Linked DNA regions of Lytechinus pictus. Each later gene encodes a partner of the first gene's protein in a complex. Links are inferred from orthologs where the notes say so. Each region holds a gene or a part of one and is shown in the gene's direction. Other genes may lie near its edges.

The links.
Region 2: THO complex subunit 3-like (region 1) and SAP domain-containing ribonucleoprotein-like share a complex: the UniProt entries of both Homo sapiens proteins name them as parts of the transcription/export (TREX) complex. The link is inferred for Lytechinus pictus from reciprocal best matches to the Homo sapiens genes THOC3 and SARNP.

Annotation. Positions count from the first base shown.
Region 1 is NC_087256.1:25,212,182-25,221,940, reverse strand, and holds the start of THO complex subunit 3-like, read left to right. Parts: upstream 1-4,968; 5' UTR 4,969-4,995; coding exon 4,996-5,178; intron 5,179-7,750; coding exon 7,751-7,907; intron 7,908-8,868; coding exon 8,869-9,073; intron 9,074-9,759. Other genes in the region: eukaryotic peptide chain release factor subunit 1, read right to left, coding at 587-675. UniProt on the Homo sapiens protein: Component of the THO subcomplex of the TREX complex which is thought to couple mRNA transcription, processing and nuclear export, and which specifically associates with spliced mRNA and not with unspliced pre-mRNA.
Region 2 is NC_087257.1:27,958,794-27,969,179, forward strand, and holds the start of SAP domain-containing ribonucleoprotein-like, read left to right. Parts: upstream 1-6,182; 5' UTR 6,183-6,258; coding exon 6,259-6,282; intron 6,283-8,091; coding exon 8,092-8,250; intron 8,251-9,993; coding exon 9,994-10,073; intron 10,074-10,386. UniProt on the Homo sapiens protein: Binds both single-stranded and double-stranded DNA with higher affinity for the single-stranded form. Specifically binds to scaffold/matrix attachment region DNA. Also binds single-stranded RNA. Enhances RNA unwinding activity of DDX39A.

The DNA of each region.
Region 1 (9,759 bases):
GCAACCACCCTGCCTGTGGGGAATCTACAGGTTGGACTATGGCATGCCAATGCTGTACAGAGCACACACTTTAAAAAATGATTAAAATATCACTTTTGTGACCAAAATTACTAATTTCCGTACAGTTGCAATTTATTTTTCATTAGTAACTTGGGAATAATTTTTGTATTCACTAGAGCACTCAAAAACTTGAATTTTGGGCATATTTTTGTGTACGCCCTCTATTGGTGGAAAATAATTATAATATGGCAAGAAAATTTTCATTTTTTATCACTATTTCTAATTAAGAAAAAAATAATTTAAAGAATCAAATTTACTTAAGGGCCAAGTTGTATGACGAATAGGTGTAATGGAAACTGTCAGTGTAATTTGTAAAAAAATCAAGCATTTGTCCCCAAGAAAAAGAGAAAATAAGCCAAACATTGCCATCCTTATTTTGCCACACATGGAGATATATTTTAACTGAGAACAAGGTTATAATATATCACAACCTTGTTCATTGAATGAGCATGATGAGTGCCAATTCATAAGACAATAACAGTTCATGACCCTACCATTCATTGCCTACTCAATAATGAGAACATACCCTCTTGCTGCCTGTAAACTTTTGATCAGTTTCTTGATTTTCCATATTTCGACATTCCTGTCAGCTGCAGTTTCCTCCTGTGCAGACATCTTTCTCTTATTCTGTTCCTACTCCTTGTCTCTCTTTCTCCAATCAACACTCTTGTTCACCAATAATTAGTTCCACTAACAATAACAAGACTAAAGTGTTGATTTATATTATCAGATTTGGCAAGGTTGTTGCCTAGCTTTGAGTGTGCTTATTTATTTGCACACGTTTGGCCTTCTGCAGATCTATTCAATGCAATTCCAATGCCGGTTGGTTGCAACAAATGAATGAAACTCAATCAATGGCCCCAACACGCTGTATCGACAACAGCGTGTGGCTCGTCTTGAACTGTATATTTGAAGTTTAACAGTACAAAATTCCACGATCAAACCTATTCAGGATCTTGGTCGATTAACTTCAAATCAGTTCTGTTCCAAAATGATTTGCATCGAAAATCAAGAATATGAAACAATCGCCTTTCACAATATGTTGGACACAGCACGTCTTGATATTTCGCCCATGTGATGAAAGTTCGCGATTTCCAAATAAATGCAATATGTATACGACTCAACCGGAAGTACGTATAGGTCACAACGATAACTTACGAGGGACTTACCGGGGACATAAATCATTCTGAAACTAATATTCGTTCTTATTTTCCATATAAAAATCATAGTAAAAAGAAAGAGATTATTGAAATACGATGTCATTAAAATAAACGTGATTTTATAAGTTAAACAATGTGAATTAATCAACACAATATATCTCTCGTAGAAAGAAACCCCATACAATTTAATGGATTCGTCCATTGCCCTCTATTTCACCTTTCTTTCATCGTAATGGTACATGGTACCGTGATAACTGATATAATATATTTTTTGGCCAGGAGAGATCCATCAATGCTGATATATGCTAGAATAACTCACTTGCTTTCAATTAAAGATACTGACTATCCTAGCTCTCATCTCCCATTCCCTTTTAAGATATTTCTTTTAATTCATGATTTCTTTCTCAAATCGCAAGTATTTTTTTCCTGATTGAGCAGCCTCGATCTGGTGAGATGGTAGGTCAGCAGTGATCTATTTTAGTGGTAGAGACGTCATCTTCTAATCCAACTTTTCGGAAGCGCGCGCTCAGTCGCGCTCGACCGCTTTATAGAGAATGGTTGAAGACTTGACAGACTTGAGGTTAATAAAAATTGTTGGAGGTCTAGGGGCATATTGTAAAGGCCTATATATTCAAATTTAGATCAGCACAATTCAGCGCTAAACATTTTCAGAAGGCCCGGTCAAAAAGGTTTAGAAAGGGCCAGGAAATGGTTTTCTAAATAAATTAGGAAAAAGTTTTGAAAACATAAAGTCGCCGCGGTAGGCTAATGTTCTATTGAAAAAAAAAAACAGAAATCTAGTTGGAACTTTTAAGTTTTAACCCATGGGTTAAAACTATCGAGGTTTCATGATAAATTGCTATTATCATGAAACCTCGATTATATGGCCATTGTGCCCGGCGTTTATATGCTCCTTTGCAAGTATCCTTTTTTGTCTCTCGATCATAATTATATTCTCAAACCCTCAAACATACTTTTTAATATCATTTACATAGAAAAAATGAGTCATTTGTATTTGATTTTTGTTATAAATTCATATAATTCACATCAATAAAATAAACTCTTTATTAAACTTTTTTGGCTGCACGGATTTCTTTTTTTTTTTTAAGGCATTGTTTTTATCAGAGACCAAAAGTCTTACCCCAACAACAATTTGAATTGAATATATAAACAGGAGGGATAAAAATGAAACAAGCAAAATATTGAAAATTCCATTAAATCGGAAGAATTTTATTCAGCCGAGTGAAGAGAATTTATTGAAAGTATGAATATCATGTGTGTTTGTTATAAAACGGTATACTTTGGGGACAGAGGGGCCTGTACGTATATATGATAAAAAGCTTTTTTTAAGGATTTGGATATTTAAAATGGAATTTGAATAACATCGGGGAGACTTACTTTACCTCTTTCTACGTTTCTCCAGTTTTAGACCGTCCAATTTCATATAGGAGTCATTTGGATTTATTTATGTGCATTTAAATTCACACGTAAACGTTTTCCCGAAGAGCAGACAATGGGATTCATTTAAAGACACTAGAATTCATTTATAATCATTAAAAAAGCTATGGTCAATACAATTTCAAATTTGATCATTTCAAAATGTGTCATCAGTGATTTAGATTTCGTTCTAAGGCAAAGAGGTTCGCTAATGGTCTTACAAATTAACGAATGTACTTCTTAATTTTGGGCAATGTCGGAAATTCAGAAATTGCGCAATCAATAAATAAAAAATGACCGATACCTTGAGCAACCAATTTCATTTTTGAGAGTTCAAATTAATGATGCGCAAATCGTTTGTTTTGCATGGCATCTGTATGCTCATAATATGTGTCTAATATTAATGTATAAACATGTGTTTATAATACAATCAGAATTGTTTGAATTGTGGCTATTTGTTTAGCCCAAATTTGAATTTCCACAATATCCTTAGTTTTCATCATAAAAACAATTTATATTGCATCTTTTGCAACTTTTGCGTTTCCTTTACAAAGGTGTTAAGGGCTATTCTATATATTCTTCCTTTTCACCCGACAATGCTGACTGTGTGGGCATTTCCATTGATATTTACTTTCTTCTTTTTTGTTCTTTTCAAGTTTATTACAAGTCCCAAGGGCGGATCCAAGATCTTCCAAGGGGGGGGGGGCATTTTGTACAGAAAAAAAATGAGAACCTGAAAAAAAAACTACAAAATCGAGTTTGTGCAATTAAGGAAAAATTTGACAAGTAAAAAATGGGTCCCCAAATTGCCTATGCATGACACATTCCAGCAAAAAAAAAAACCTAATATTTTGTGCCTCTCAAAAGTGGATCCACCGCTGACGTGTCCCTGTATGATAATACTTTCAACTCTAGTCAATTTCATGGGTGATCATCTGTATGTCAAATTGTCAAGCATGACGGATTTGGAAGGGAATTGGAAGGGGCCTATATGGCTCCATTCCATCAATCCGCGGTGCCTTTATTCTAGGAAAACATTATTATTCTATAAAGTACATTTTATAACAGGAAAAGTAGACCTATGAATGCCCATTCCTTTAATTGCATGCTATTAATAAAAATGCACCAATTCGGGTGATACACTTACTAGAAGAAGAATATTTTGCAGAGATAATGAACCAAAAGTGCGGGAAAATGGTTATCCTTGCGAATTCGTTAAACATATTATGCTGCTTATCTAAATTCTCAGTAGTGACTTGTTTGATAGTTATTTTAAGCGGAAAATACATTCAAGTGACAAGTAATGAAATACATTGACAAATAACCGAGGTGATCATGGCTAACGCAAAATTAAATTAAATTAAATTACATTATTTAGATGAAATTGAGCGGGAAAACCTATCATTCATCTACCGTCCTCTCTCTTAGGTTTATTATAGGCCTAGTCTTCCTATCTGACCATGCATGCATTTCTGTACCCTTCTTTGTTTTTGTTTATATAAAAAAATATAGGCCCTATATAACAATGATGATGATGATGACAGTGATGAGAGTGCTGATTGTGATAATTATCGTCATCATCATCATCATCCTCATCATCCTCCTCCTCATCATCATCATATCATCATCATCATCATCATCATATCATTATCATACTTACTTCTGGATACTTATGGAACAACTGAACGAAGTCATTATGACTCTGCATTCAGTTTCAAATTCCTTCTCCTCTTTAGGTTGGCCGGATCATGTCCTGGTGGGTCAGTGTCAAACTTGAACTTCACTGGTTCACATCTTGTCCAGTCCATTCTCAAAGACACTATGGGGGCATAACTAATTCATTACTGAGACTATTCCATGGTTTTCTCATTCTAATGTAAAAAGATTTCTTTTCTTTTTTCAGTGACTGATCTTAATGAGATAAACAATTATTTTATCATGACCTCGATAGTCCCATGCAACTGACCCAGATCTGGCACTACTCCTGCATGGAACTTGTAAGTTTCAATCATATCCCCTCGCGCACGGCGGTATGTCAAAGTAGGGAATTTAGTTCAGGATCAACCTTTGTTCGTATGGAAGTTGTTTGTTTTTTGGTTTTTTTAACCTCATAATCCAATTTAGTGGCCCTTCTTTGTACATTTTCTAGTGCATGAATATGTTTCTTCAAGTAGGACTCAATACGGCATGTGCATACTCTAAATGTGGTCTAATCATCACCGGGCATCATCACCATCATCATCATCATCATCATTATCATCAATGACGAGAAATAATGGGTCTACGATACATTCACCTTTTCAATAGGAATCCCCAAATTAGCGTACCATACATCAAGATGGCAGCTTCCACAGAAAACATGATTAAAAAACATTTCGAGAAGAATTGTCGAACAAAAGAACATAATGGGGTTCACTCATCGAAAGTTCACTCTGTAGCATGGAATTGTGATGGCACTATGCTTGCATCCGGATCGTTTGATAGAAATGTTTGTGTCTTTTCGCTGGATAGAGATAGGATGGTGAGTTATGTCTGAATATGACTGACTGCCGATGCCGCGCCGTGTCGCGTCGCTGCACTCTTAATCTTATCTCGCTAACCCAGGCCCAGGGAGCACCGGCCCGCTTGGCCGATTACACGAAAGGGTCTTGCAGGACCAAGCCCAAGGACCGTCTTTCGTGTCGCCCATCTTTTATTATTCGCTATATGCGGGATATTTCTGAAATGTATGATAAACAAATAAAATTTGTTAGCTAGAATTAAAATCAATTTGTATACAATTCAATTCATGATTTTCGATTCTCGTGTGTTCTCAAAGTCATGGCTCATGCCATGGAATTTTTTTGCTGTCTACGATACCCCTGCCCACCTAGCCAGGCGGCTTCTACTATAGTACTAGTTCTAGAGAGTAAAAATCATTTACTAACGTAAGGTTACTCTCATACGAAGCCAGGCCTTCTATCTCATAGACCCACACAAAGGAAGCCAAAACCTGAAACTTTCACCTCCGAGATTTCTACTTTCCTTCTAAAAGATCTAGCTCTAAATCATGTACATGGGATAAAACTTCATTTCCGACATTTCTACGTTCTCGTTGTTATTTTTAAAACAAGAATTCATCAAAAAAATGAAAAAATATTGTGAAAAGACGGAAGAGACTTGCCCGATGTTTACGCCGCCATCTTGTTTCTTATTGTACTTCCCCAACGTTACGGAGGAAGAAGATGATGATTTGTTTTGATCTCCGACATAATCGGAGGAAGGAAAAGAAGATAATGACGTTGCAGCGCGCGACACTATCCGAAGTTGTTTCTGATGATATTCACTTTCTCTACAAGTTACATCGTAGTGATGGCGGAGGTAATCGTAAACCCTTAGAGGACGCATGACTTACCGAAATAGACGCACTATTATCCTAAATTGTTTACGATGATATTCTTCTTGTCTTGTCTTGTCTTTCCGTTAATGCCCACAATCATTACAATGATTATTATGGCATATGAACGTCAAGATTGACTTGACCTTCACCTTCTCTACAACATCATAGTGATGGCAGAGGTGATCGTAAAACTCTTAGAGGACGCATGACCTACCGAAATAGACGCACTACAATCTGAAGTTGTTTCCGATGATATTGACCTTCTCTACGACATCGTGGTGATGGCGGAGGCAATCGTGAACTCTTAGAGGACGCATGACCTACCGAAAAAGACGCACTATTATCCAAAGTTGTTTACGATGATATTCACCTTCTCCCCAACATCGTAGTGTTGGCGGAGGTAATCGTAAACTCTTAGAGGTCGCATGACTCACCGAAATAGACGCACTACTATTCGAGGTTGTTTACGATGATATTCACCTTCTCTACAACATCGTGGTGATGGCGGAGTCCGTCGTGAACTTTTAGAGATCGCATTACTTACCGAAAAAGACGCACTATATGGATGAAGGTCTATCTAAACACAGAATCCTGACATTGAGGCACAAACTTGACCCTCAAAAAAAGGAAAAGTTACATCTAACTTTAGATCTAGATCCTCTTTGTTGCGTTTTTATCTCTCGCTTTCAAAATTGAAAACAAAATGGCCGATTGATACCGTGAACGAACGCGAGAACTAATGGTCATACATGTATTAGGCACAATTGAATAAGACATTTTAGGAATTAAAAAAATGAATAAAATAGATTAAAAAAGGATTAAAATTTGTTTGAGACAATTTGATTGCTCAAGTTATAACTGATATCAGCATCAATAATAAACTGTCAAACCGTATGTCAAAATTATCTAGTTTGCTTTAGTTTAGTTAGAGTTAATGTGGAAGTAGAAGAAGTGGAATTCTTTTTTTTTAGACCCTACTTGTCTCTTCGGGACAAGTCTGACTCTGAGACCCGACCAAGTTCTTTGCCATTTTCAGTTATTTGACATTGATATCCATGATAGCAGATGTTTAGCATTTAAATAAATTCAAGGCGCAAATCAAAGTTTTCTGCTATTTTCACAATTTCGAAGTTTTGTATTTTTTGATATTTTTGCCAATTGCCTGCACATGGATCTAATGGCATGCATTTGCCATATTGCTAAGTTTTTTCCTAAGCAGAGGTGCAGCATGCGATCAGCAACAGCAACAATATTGAGGGGAAAAAAATTGATAGAGCAGGGCCTTGATTAATAGCTTGAAGCTAGAAGTTCCTAAAGTAAGTCAAAGTAGTACATCCCTTATGATCCCTGTAATTCAAGATACATGTGAACTTGCAAGTTGTATAAAGTAGACCTTTCTTTAAGTTGAATATTCACCCAACTTGAAGCACTTTTTAGACCGGATTATGCAAAACATGTACTCGTATTCCTCGTTTAAGTCTAGATTGTGGGAAAGGTACTGGTACATGGGCCATCTTTATTGCAGATTATTTGTTGAATAATTCTGAGAAAGACCCATGGTCAATGCACCCATTCAAGGCAAGTGAGGGAAGGAATGCTTGCCAGGAATATTGCATTCAATGGAAACAAAATCAAATCTTTCTTCATGTTCAACTACAGATGATTCTTGTAGACAGCACATAGTTTTCTTGTTATGAATTTTTCTTCACCGTAGACCAGAGAAGCAACGTACAAGGGTCATGTCGGCAGTGTGGATCAGTTGTGCTGGCATCCCAGAAATCCAGATGTGTTTGTGACCGCATCGGGAGACAAGACGATCAGGATATGGGATACCAGGTCTGCCAAGTCTATATCAACTATAGCTACAAAGGGTATGCTCAACTATTTTTGATTTAATTTTAGCTATTTCATTCTTTTTTTTACACTGACCCAAAGGAAACCAATATGTTTGGTCTTTTAATCATGTTTGAATAATAATAATAATATAGGTATATTTACCCAGGGAAGCCACCTCAGTTCTGAAAACTGTTCTCCCAGCGGGCCCTGCTATTATTATTGCCTCGGCTTTAGCTGGGCTGCCTAGGTGCAAAGCATTCAAGGAATATCTTCCTACCGGGTACCCATTAAACATACCTGGGTTGAGTGTGCGGCACAGTGGATAAATTTCTTGCTGAAGGAAATTACGTCATGGCTGGGATTCGAACCCACGACCCTCTGTTTCAAAGTCAGAAGATTAATCCACTGGGCCACAACGCTCCACAACGCAAATAAGGCCCAATCAATTGCTGTGTTGTATTCTGTGATACCCATAGGCTTTGTCCTTGGACCAACATGCTGGTTCGAGTAGACAATCGATTACTTGAGTTTTAGAGAGAGCAAGGATAGGCATATTTATTGTAATATCAATTGTTTGATTAGAAGAGATGTTGAGATTCTAAACTTGTGAAGTTTTCAGCTTGCAACTTGTCACAAGAGAAGTTGTTGATGTTAATGTCAGATAGTACCTTATTATTTGTTAATATTGAATGGTCATAATAGTTACCAGCAACCTGTAACTTCAAAAGATCCCACAAGTATTTAGAATCAATTGTAATGCACTGTACATGTATTGCCATAAACCCACAGATACAATCACTTGTAAAATTGATTCGATTGATTTAATGTTGCAGGGTCAATGTGTGATGCACTTAATTGTGCTTCCACCATCATAAGAATATTATAAAACTGGAAGAGCAACATTAAAGAGCTACTTTATACTAGATTATAATGTCCATATCCATGGATTAGGAAAATTTCATTATTTGAATTTTTCATATCCTTGCATTTCGTTAGGTGAGAACATCAACATTTGCTGGAGTCCTAACGAGCAGTACATCGCTGTCGGCAACAAGGATGACCTTGTGACCTTTGTAGATGCTAGATCTAATCGTATCATCAGCGAGGAACAATTTAAGTATGAAGTGAATGAGATCTCTTGGAACAACGACAGTGATCTTTTCTTTTTAACGAATGGGCATGGTCACATAAACATCCTAAGGTAACTCCTACTTTTCCAAATTAATGTTATTCTTTCATGTATTTTATATGTTTGTCTAACCTGACAAGAAGCTGTTTCAGAAAGAGTTAGTGGGGGCATCGTGGTCTACTGGTTACGAATCTTGTCTTTCAATGAGAGGGACGTGGGTTTGAATCTCAGCCATGGCGTGTTTTCCTTCAGCAAGAAATTTATCCACATTGTGCTGCACTCAACCCAAGTGAGGTGAATGGGTACCCGGCACGATTAATTCCTTGAATGCACCAAGTGCCTTTAGCAGCTGGAGCTACAGGCGGGGTAATATACAGTGCGCCATTGAATAGGAAACTAGATAAATCGGCGCCTCATAAATGCTATATATTATTATTATTAGTATGACAAAATAGCACTTGTATCCTTAAATGTGTGCAGTGAGGAGGGCATCACTGCAATTGGGGATATCATTTTCAAAGCATGAGAACTCTTGTGTTTTTATCAATGAAATTACCAGTGAACCTGTCTATGCAGAGGAAACATTGAATGTGCCTACTGTGGACAGGTGTCCTTTATTGACAGGTTCTTCAAAAACATATTCTTTTCAATTGGGAAGCAATTTTAGGGGGCCACTAAAGACAGGTGGCCATAAAGACAGTCCTGACTGTATTGAAAACTATGATTCCTCGAACATCTTGTGTTCACCCAACTTGAAG
Region 2 (10,386 bases), on another chromosome or scaffold:
TTCCAGAGCACTTAAAAAAAAAACATTGGCAAATAAAACAAAAAAAATGAAAGATCGATGTCCGAGCTGAATTATGTTTTGTATATTGACTTCAAAACTTTATCTTTTGAACTATATATCAGCCTATATTGACCGAGATATGTATCTCATCGAACAGGCAATGCGAGCGTGATGCGCGAGCGAAATTTTAATATAGTGACATTAAATACTTAAAAAAAATTTCAAGTCTTCTCCTGACCTTATTTTATTCACTCGTCTTCCTCCTTTTATCTTTCCCCTTCTTTTTTTCTTTCTTTCCCCGTTTTTTCCCAATTTATTTGCTCCGTCAATAGGGGGAGGGGCCCTCGGGCCCCCTGGATTCGCCTATGTTAGTAGTTGTTATGATGAACACGATGCATATCTATTAAGAAATTAATGCGAGCGCGAAGTGCTAGCTGAAAACTTTTATAATGATAAAATGAAAAATACATTTTCAGTTGTCAGGTTAGAATATCAAATATTTTCAGCTTGTGCTTCTCGTTCTCTTAAAAAAAACTGCGAGGTCGGGATGCGTATATAACTAAACAATGTATTGATGCCAGCGCGAAGCGCGAGCTCAATTTTTTATATACTGACTTAAGAAGGACTAAGGTATAATTCCTATTCTAATTGCTTGTCCCTTTTCTCTTCGTTTTCTGTTTCTTACCCTTTTTTTGCGCCACCATGGGGGGGGGGGGGGCAAAATCTTTGCCCCGTGGATCGGCCTATGTATGTTGACTTGAAGAACACTAACACTTACATGTAGGATTGATGCAGATGATGCATACCTCATTGATGAAATATTGCGAGCGCGTAGCGCGAGCTGAATTTGATAATAACCCCTTTTTGTGACCCTGAACAGGATATCTATCTCGCTAAACAGACTTAAAACTTGAAAACATTGTTTTTGTCTATTATAATTATCGTAAAAACGGGATATTTTAATTCAGCCGCATTAATTTAAGCTTTTTGGGCAGGACATATATTTCACTATAAACAGGCAATACGAGCAATGTTGCGCCCCCGGTCGAAAATGAATTTGCATGAAGCAACCTAAGTTCAAGGTCAATTTGGCGCCCTCGGTTGAACATAAACTTGGCGCCCCCATGTGAAATATAACTTTGCCCCCCCCCCCTTCTGAAACATGTATTTGTCGCATTATGGTCAAAATTCAAATTAGCGCTCCTCTATAGTTCGAACATCAATATGGTGCCCCGCTAGATCGAACATCAATTCGGCGCTCCCATAGTTCGAACATCAATTTCGCGCCCCCCCCCCCTCCCAGTTCAAACATCAGTTCGGCGCCCCATAGTTCGAATGTTATTTTGGCGCCGCCTATAGTTCGAACATCAAATCGACGTCCGGGTCAACATCTCCCTCTTTCGTTTCCCATCTCCTTTTTTTTTTTCTCTCTCTCTTATCCTCAATCCCCTTCCTTTCTCTTTCTTTCTCTCTTTCTTTCCCCCTCTTCCTCTCCCCTTTTCTTCTTTTCCTTCCTCCTCTCTCTCTCTCCTTGTCTTCTCTTTATTTCCCCCTTTTCTTCTCTTTTTTCTTGTCTTCCTTTCTCCCTTTTCTTCTCTTTTCCCCTATCTTTTCTTTCCCACTTTTCTTCTATTTTTTCCCGTCTTTTCTTTCTCTCTTTTCCTCTCTCTTTTCTCTTTTTCTCCTTTTCCTTCTCCCCTTACTCTCTCCTTTTTTCTTCTCTTTTCCTCTATTCCCCTCTCTCTCTCTTTTCTTATCTTTCTTCCCATCTTCCTCTCTTTTTAAATATTATTCTCTTCCTTCCCCTTTTCTTTCTCCTTTCTTTTCCCTCTTCCGCTTTTTTCTTTTTCCCCCTTTTTTCTTTTTCTTTCCTTTCCCCCTTTTTCTCTTTTAATTTTTTTCTTCTCTCCCTCTCCTTCCCCCTCTCTCTTTTTCTTCTCTTCTTTTCCCCTCTTCCTCTCTCTCTCTCTTTTTCTTATCTTTCTTCTCATCTTCCTCTCTATTTAAATATTCTTCTCTTCCTTCCTCTTTTTTCTTCTTCTTTTTCCTCCTTTTCCTTTCTCCTTTCTTTTCTTCTCTTCCTTTTCCCTCCTCTCTTTTTTTCTCTTCTCTTTCCCCTTTTTCTTCTCCCTTTTCCCGTCTTTTCTGTCTCTCTTTTCCTCTCTCTTTTCTCTTTTTCTTCTCTTCCTTCCTCCCCCTTACTCTCTTTTCTATTCTCTTCTTTTCCCATCTTCCTCTCTCTCTTTTCCCCTCTTCCCCCTCTTTTTTTTGAGCTAGGGGTGAGGCAGTTCCCCCTCGGCCCCCCATGGATCCGCACCTGATAGAACCCCATGGTCTCGTATCATTTGACCTTTGGACCTCTCGATGACATTTGATACATCTGATCATAATTTTACACACACTGCGAACTATCGGACCCGCGGTCTATCGGACCCGCGGTCTATCGGACCCGCGGACTATCGGACCCGCGGTCTATCGGACCCGCGGTCTATCGGGATGTCCCCCTTCATCCATGACATGCAAAAAGTACAAAATTTCACTTCGTGTACTTCCCTTTATTTTGTGGGTACCATTTTAATCCTTTCCCCCAGTGATTAATTGATTACAGTGATTAATTTTATTATGTCACAATAAACCAAATTATGACAGTTTATGCACTCCCAAGAAATAGTGTTTACGGGCCGGCCGGTCTATCGTCTACACACAGACCACACAGACTTCGCACAGTTCGGTCAAGGCGGTACGCGTATCAAACGGTGCCAAATATACGGAAATTGTGAGGAGCGCTTTTCCTATGAAAGGAATTGATATGCATTATTAGGGCTTAAAACTTGACCAAAAAAGGTTATCGCCCCAAATTCGAGAATATGGACCCATGTTTAAGGCCAATATCTAACAAGGCAAAAGCAATTTTGTGTCTCGCCCACTTATGAAAATGACCAGAAATATCGTGATTTGCGAGGGCACGCAAGAGAATTATATCGAAACTTCATTGTGAAATGACTGGGATGGAATAACACTTGTCATAAGAGCCTTGTACATAAACTTTAAGGTTGACCTGCAAATGACCTTTGACCTTACCAGGTGACCTCTGACTGCAGCATAACATGCAGGTCCCCCAAGTCCATCTACCATCCAAGTTTGGTTGAAAATCGACTTACGGTTGTGGAGTTATGTGTCATTAGATTTGTGACGGACGGACGACGGACGACATTTGGATCCCTAAGTCTCGCCTTCACCTCCGGTGGGCGAGACAAAAATTGGGGGCATGAACCCATGTATCTAAAAGCAAGTATCTAAAAATTTGGGCCATGCATGTTTAGGGATTTTCCAGCATAAAACCATACCCCATGTTTAGAGATTTCCCGGAGATTTCTTCCAAAAGAGCGACCCATTTCAGCGGCACATCCCCGTATACCTTATTTCGTAAGTCCCCCCCCCCTCCCCTGGCTCTAATTGTATTCAAAATTTTCTGAACTCTTAAGATATTTGACTTGCACGTAATTAATTTCCTCGTAATTTTTCTCTTATGGCTCGACTGTATTGATCTTTTATTTTCACTTTGCCGATACCATAATAAGACTCGTGAAACGAAAATGTGTAGATTATCTATTATCTAAAAGTCAGATCCGACTTGAAGAGAAGCGATTATCACATAAAGGGTCGTAATCAGTCATGTGTTCATTGGAGTCAGGAAAATAGGGGGTGAGATTTGACGTAAGTGGGAGAAGTAGGTTGATGGGAAAAGGGTCAACAGAACATTTTAGCCCCCCTCCCTCTCTCTCGCCCTCCCCTTCTGTTGAGTGACTGATTTTTATTGTCATGTACGTGTGAAGTCCAGAGCAGAATGTTAATTTAATTAATTAATGATAATTAATTAATGATAATTGGGGCATCAACTTTTCCTATCAATCAACAATTTATCAATAAATCAACTATTTCAGTGGGCAATGTAATCAATCAAACGTTCAGTTTTTCAATAAAGTATTTCATAAATTATAATCAAGTCAATTTCTTGGTAATCATTCAATAAAAAGAAGAAAAAAATGACTATCAGCCACTGGTCACTTCAGTGGCAAATAAGTTTTGAATAGGCTACCATCCAGGAAGTGAGAGGGGTCTGGGAAATTGAGGGGGGGGTGGAGATACATAAGAATTTAATTTGTAAAATGACAAAAAGATGATGAATGCCCTTTCAACCAAGTCTTACCATATCTCGCCCTCTCGCTTGTAACAGGTACCATCACATTACTCCGACTCACAAAACACACTGCTTAGGTCTACAAGATGAATAGGCTACACTAAATTTACAATTCCTGTTCACTCAACCATCATTCTTACAAGATTCAAAAATCATATTTGTTGGGGAAAATCCAGCATAAGTGTTACCTTCCCCTTAAAAATCCCAAACTTAGGATTTTTTTAAAGAAGTCACCATGCAATCAAATTTTGCCTCATTGTGATGTCAACCATACGATAAATAAGACATAAGGAGAAAAATTCGTCCATAATTGACATCGTATACAATTATGTTACCTGGTTATTGATCATTCGTTCTCTGTATATGAGGTTCATGGGTCGAATCGCGAACCAACTAAAGAGAGTTGCAGCTCCGTAATTAGCTTGAAGTAGAAGTTCGCCTTGGTGAGAAACACTCATGAAACTGTTCAGTCTAGGACATACCTTTAATTTTCAAATGAAATTCAATCTCGACAAGCATGCCCCTTCCCCCACTGTCATGCCATCACAATCGCCATAATCATAATCATTGTAATCATCAAAACTAGGATTATTATCATAATTAATCTCAGCACCTTCATCACTGTCATTATCACCGTCATCATCATAAAACATTAATACATTCATCATAAAACATTAATAAATCATCACCGCGGGCGGCGGAGCAGAGGATATATCCTTTGTTCATAGGGTGCATCATTATTATGTTTATAGATTAAAAAACAAAAAAATGTTATTATCGTCATCATTACCACCGCTTTCATCCTCATCCTCCTTATCCTTCTTCATTATCACCAACATCATTATTACCATCACCATTATATCATCCTCGATCATCATTCCGTTTTCACAAACGCTGACTACTTGTAGTAGTTCCGTCATTGGACAATGTGGTTTGGGAGGATTCATTGGGGTCAAGAAAGCACAATTAGAGATTATCAGAGATCGTTGCGTAACTTCAGTTGAAACGGATTCTTCCTATTGTTAGTTGTTAATTGTAATTTTCACACCTTCTTTGTTCGCAACACATGCGAGACGGTGTAGTTAATCGAACCCATTCAAGTCGCTCCGGGGCATTCACTTCAAAGCTTCAAAGGGACTTTAAGAGTTATCTTTCCTAAAACGAAGTAAATCAAGTGCATTGGGGTCTTGAGAATAATTTAAACAAATTCTTGACCACTACGAACTACTCAAAGAACGAATAACAAAGGAGATTAAGAACAGAACATGACTGGGAAATGGGAATGGATGAGGATTTCAATAAGTTGTATGCATAAATACGAATGCTAGTACCCATGAGCATTGGAGGATGCAGGCGGGGGGGGGGGGGCACAGTCGGTCCATGCCCCCTTTTGAGAAGCAAAATAAAAATTTATAATGTAAAAATGCAAGTCAATCTTCATCATTTCATAATTTCAAATCAATACTCGTTTCTTCATCATTTTGAGTTATTTTAAGAAATATACAAGTAATTTGCTCAGCCATTTCATGATATTAAGAGAAGTCATAACAAATATTGAATAATGAACATTGCTTTATCCAAGTTTCCATCCTCATTATTTTGCGTTCCTAATGCCTCGGTCATATTTGCTCTACGGCGGCCGTACGGTGAGTCGGAAACACCTGTTTTATCCATTTTTATTCAGACCACGTGTTTGTAGCTATTACAACAAAAAAATGTTAAAACGGTTGTTTTTGACTCGCCGCACGGCCGTCATAGAACAAAATTAGTGGGTTTTCGCCCAGCGTCGTACGACGTAGAACGTACGTGTGCAAAAATCGCCAACTTTCATGGAAACAGAGGCCCGAGCGTTCTTGAGCTCAAATCACGGACGGTTCTTCCGCAAATTAGCGGGCGTCCGCATTAGAACGTAGGATTTGTCAACAGCCGTCAACAGCCAATCAGATCGCTTGTAGAGCGAGCAAGCTGAGCCGATCGATGTAAACACATTCGCCCATCGCGTGCATGCACATGTTGTACTCTACTCTGACTACACTGATAGCTGAAAGCTTCAAAACATGGACTCGAATGCGATTTTTTCGGTGAGTACCATTTCAATTATACTAAAATCAAGCTAAGTATAATTTCAAAATGTTACAGTAGAAGTTTAAACGAGTATGATTATTGAAATATGATTGAAAAGCCGTTGCATGGCTCGGTCGACGACGCGACTGCAAGACACATGGCACTGCCAGTTGTGTGCACATAGTAGGAACATATACAATGCACATGTTGGCGTGTCAACATTACATGCCAACCATGCCAGCCGGTGGATCCGGCCGCGTTCAGCGATTTGCGAAACTGCTTACAAGCGAGAGTTGAGCGCGACGGACGCACGAACAAAGAGATCGTTCTACGTCGTAGATAGCGTCGTACGACGCTGGGCGAAAACCCACTAATGACCGAGGTAAGGTCAGGGAATGTTGCAGGAGTTCACCCCCCCCCCCCTCCACTTAGATAAAAAAAAAATTGCTTGTAATTTTTTTGTTATGAAAAGACCTAATGGGGGGGGGGGGGGAGTGAAAACCTCTGTCAAATTTTCATTGAACTCGAACTCTACCTTTCAAAAATTCTGCGTAGGCTACTGCAAAAGCTAGAGCTATTGGAGCTATACGTAGCGTAAAGAGAATTTTGTTTCATAGCGGCAAAGCTCTGCCTCAAATACCTTGTATTGTGTATGCTTGCGCGCACATGGTATCTATCAAACTGATATTAAGCGTGCGGGTATACCGCAAGAACGATACTGAGTCGTGACTAAACTTTTCTGAGGACTAATTCGGAGGAATCAAGTACAAGTGACAATGCGGCCGTATTTGTCAGCGCTTTTGGAATTGTTATAGGCACGGTTGTAGTCACATCTTCAGGAGCGAACAGAGCTCTGCAAGCTGATTCAGTGGGTCCAGCGCCTGTAGACGTTGTGCGCGGTCGCCGCGGTTGATCGAACGCTTTGACGGATCGCATTTTACTTCCGCTGGTAGCCAAAACTAAATTTATTTCCCTTTCCATCTTTGTCAGGAATTTACGGGAATTATATACATATTTTTGGAAGCTCACATCATCAGGTACTAATACCTTGGTCACATTTGCTCTAGGGCGGCCGTACGGCGAGTCGAATGCAGCCGTTTTATTCATTTTTATACAAACCACATTATGTAGCTCGTACATAAAATGTTAAAACGGCTGTTATTGACTCGCCGTACGGCCGCCGTATAGCAAATGTGACGAAGGTGTAAGCATGAATAAGCGATTCGCCGGAGCAAAATTTTTGCGTCCAGGTTCTTGTCCCTTTGAATACTTGTCACGCCTTCCAACCAATTAATTACGGCACACATCGTCATTCATTGTACTAGTAGTTGCACCCTCACAACATTTCACGGCAAACAATTGAGATAAGGAACTTCTCTACACGCGCCAATAAATTCCTCTAGGCTTGCCATCCCAATGCCCGGGAACAATAGAAGTGCCAGAACGCGACTGCACGGGCTCGTTATGTCACTCCGCGATGATCGCAAGGGTGCTCTATTGATATGCAAATTCAACCTCATTAACTTCGTGGCGTGCAAGCCCGTGCATGAAAAGTAATGAGGGCGTGCAAACGCGTTTGCACACCCCTCCCGGATATTGACGTCCCGCCTTATGAATGAAGAGAGAAAGATCAATCATGCATTCTCACTGCAAGTTTCATTGAAATTGAACATCAAATAATGAAAGTTATTGTATTTTTAATTTTCTCTTATTTTCACAATACATTTCTTGACATCAAGACATCATTGACTCTCATCTTTGCTTATCCCCTGTGTAAAGCAAAACCTTTGAGTATATTTATTCCTCATTTCTACATGTTTCATTAGGACCTTGATGCTGGAGATATAGGGGAAGAAGAAGAAGCTGTTGTCACAAGAAAAGTAGAATTAGAAATAGAAGAGGAGGAGGAGGTGGAAAGGGAGGTCAAAGCACCTGAAATCAAGAAGGTTATCTCACCTACTGCTAAACCAGTATCAGATGTCGAGGTAAGAGTGATCAAGCAATAGATCGGAGATACACGCATTTGTTAACTATCATGGTTAAAACCTTAGAAGGGGGGGCTAAAACAGAGACGCCAACTAGTACTAATTTTCAGTATCCAGTACTGAACAATGAGAAGAATACTGATGGTTTCATGCAAAATACTGGTTTCTTAAGATTCCGTTTATGAGTTGGCCTACGGTATTTCTTTGAAGCTACTTATTTCCTCACCAAAATACAGATTTTTGTCTCGCCTGCATAGCAGAGCGAGACTATTAATAGGCGCCGCTTTTCCGACGGCGGCGGCAGCGTCAACATCAAATCTTAACCTAAGGTTAAGGTTTTGTAATGACATCATAACTTAAAAAGAATATGGACCTAGTTCATGAAACTTGGCCATAATGATAATCAAGTATTACTGAACATCCTGCCTGAGTTTCAGGTCACATGACCAAGGTCAAAGGTAATTTAGGGTCAATGAACTTAGACCATGTTGGGAGAATTATTTTCAAAATCTTAACCGAAGGTTAAGTTTTTGAAATGACATCATAACTTAGAAAGTATATGGACCTAGTTCATGAAACTTGGGCATAAGGTTAATCAAGTATTAGTGAACATCCTGCTCGAGTTTCAGGTCACGTGACCAAGGTCAAAGGTCATTTAGGGTCAATGAACTTTGGTCAAGTTGGTGGTATTTGTTGAATTACTATCATAACTTTGAAAATTTATGGATCTAGTTCATGAAACTTGGACATAAGGTTAATCAAGTATGAGTGAACATCCTGCCTGAGTTTCAGGTCACATGACCAAGGTCAAAGGTCATTTAGGGTCAATGAACTTTGGCCAAGTTGGGGGTATTTGTTGAATTACCATCATAACTTTTAAAATTTATGGATCTAGTTCATGAAACTTGGACATTAGGTTAATCAAGTACCACTGAATATCCTGTGCGAGTTTCAGGTCACATGACCATAGTCAATGGTCATTTAAGGTCAATGAACTTTGGCCGTGTTGGTGGTATTTGTTAAATTACCATCCTAACTCTGAAAGTTTATGGATCTAGTTCATAAAACTTGGACATAAGAGTAATCAAGTATCACTGAACATCCTGTACGAGTTTCAGGTCACATGACCATGGTCAAAGGTCATTAAAGGTCAATGAACTTTGGCCATGTTGGGGGTATTTGTTGAATTACCATCCTAACTCTGAAAGTTTATAGATCTAGTTCATAAAACTTGAGATATAAGAGTAATCAAGTATCACTGAACATCCCCTGTGAGTTTCAGGTCACAAAACCAAGGTCAAAGGTCAATTAAGGTCAATAAACTTAGGCCATGTTGGGGTAATTGTTGAATTGCCATCATAACTTTGAAAGTTTATGGATAGAGTGAATGAAATGTGGACATGGGTGTAGTTGACAAGTCTTAAGTCACCGTTCAAATGTCATTTATGGTCAATGAACGTGGTATTATGTCATTATATGAATGGTGTTTTTGTGAATGATTATGTTATTGTAGTTTTCAAAGTTAGCACTGCTGCTATATTAAATCGCGTAATGCAGGCGAGACTGCCAGAGGCGTTCCACTTGTTAGCTTTAAAATACTGAAATGTTCCTGTCAGGGTTGGCATCTCTGCTAAAAGGCCTATTAACCTATTCATAGATTTAGGAGAAGTTGTTGTGATATACATGTATGGTGTGTACATTAATTTACAATTGTTTTCCCCTCTATTGTTCTCAATACAAAAGAAAAAGGCTTTACGAGCTCAGAAGTTTGGAGTTGCAGCTTCACTATCAGATGCAGACAAGAAGAAAGCAAGAGCAGAAAGGTAGACTTTAGAAAGTATTTTATTTTCTGAAAAATCATGAAAATGTTCTGGAAAATCATTGTTATATTTGTTTTTTGAGTGAGCAAGATCACAATTTGTCCATCCATGCTGGCAGGATATCAGACTCTGCTCTATTGTGTAACCGATTATGATTAAAATTTGTAGTGATCAACAAGTCGTATAAACGTTTTTATGCTGAAATGTCTGAGAACTATGGAAATGAATGTGTGACTGTGTGAACCCATAAAGGGGGGGGGGGGGGTAAGGATCTCACTAAAACAAACAAAGAGGGGGGAGGATATCTCAAAAATCA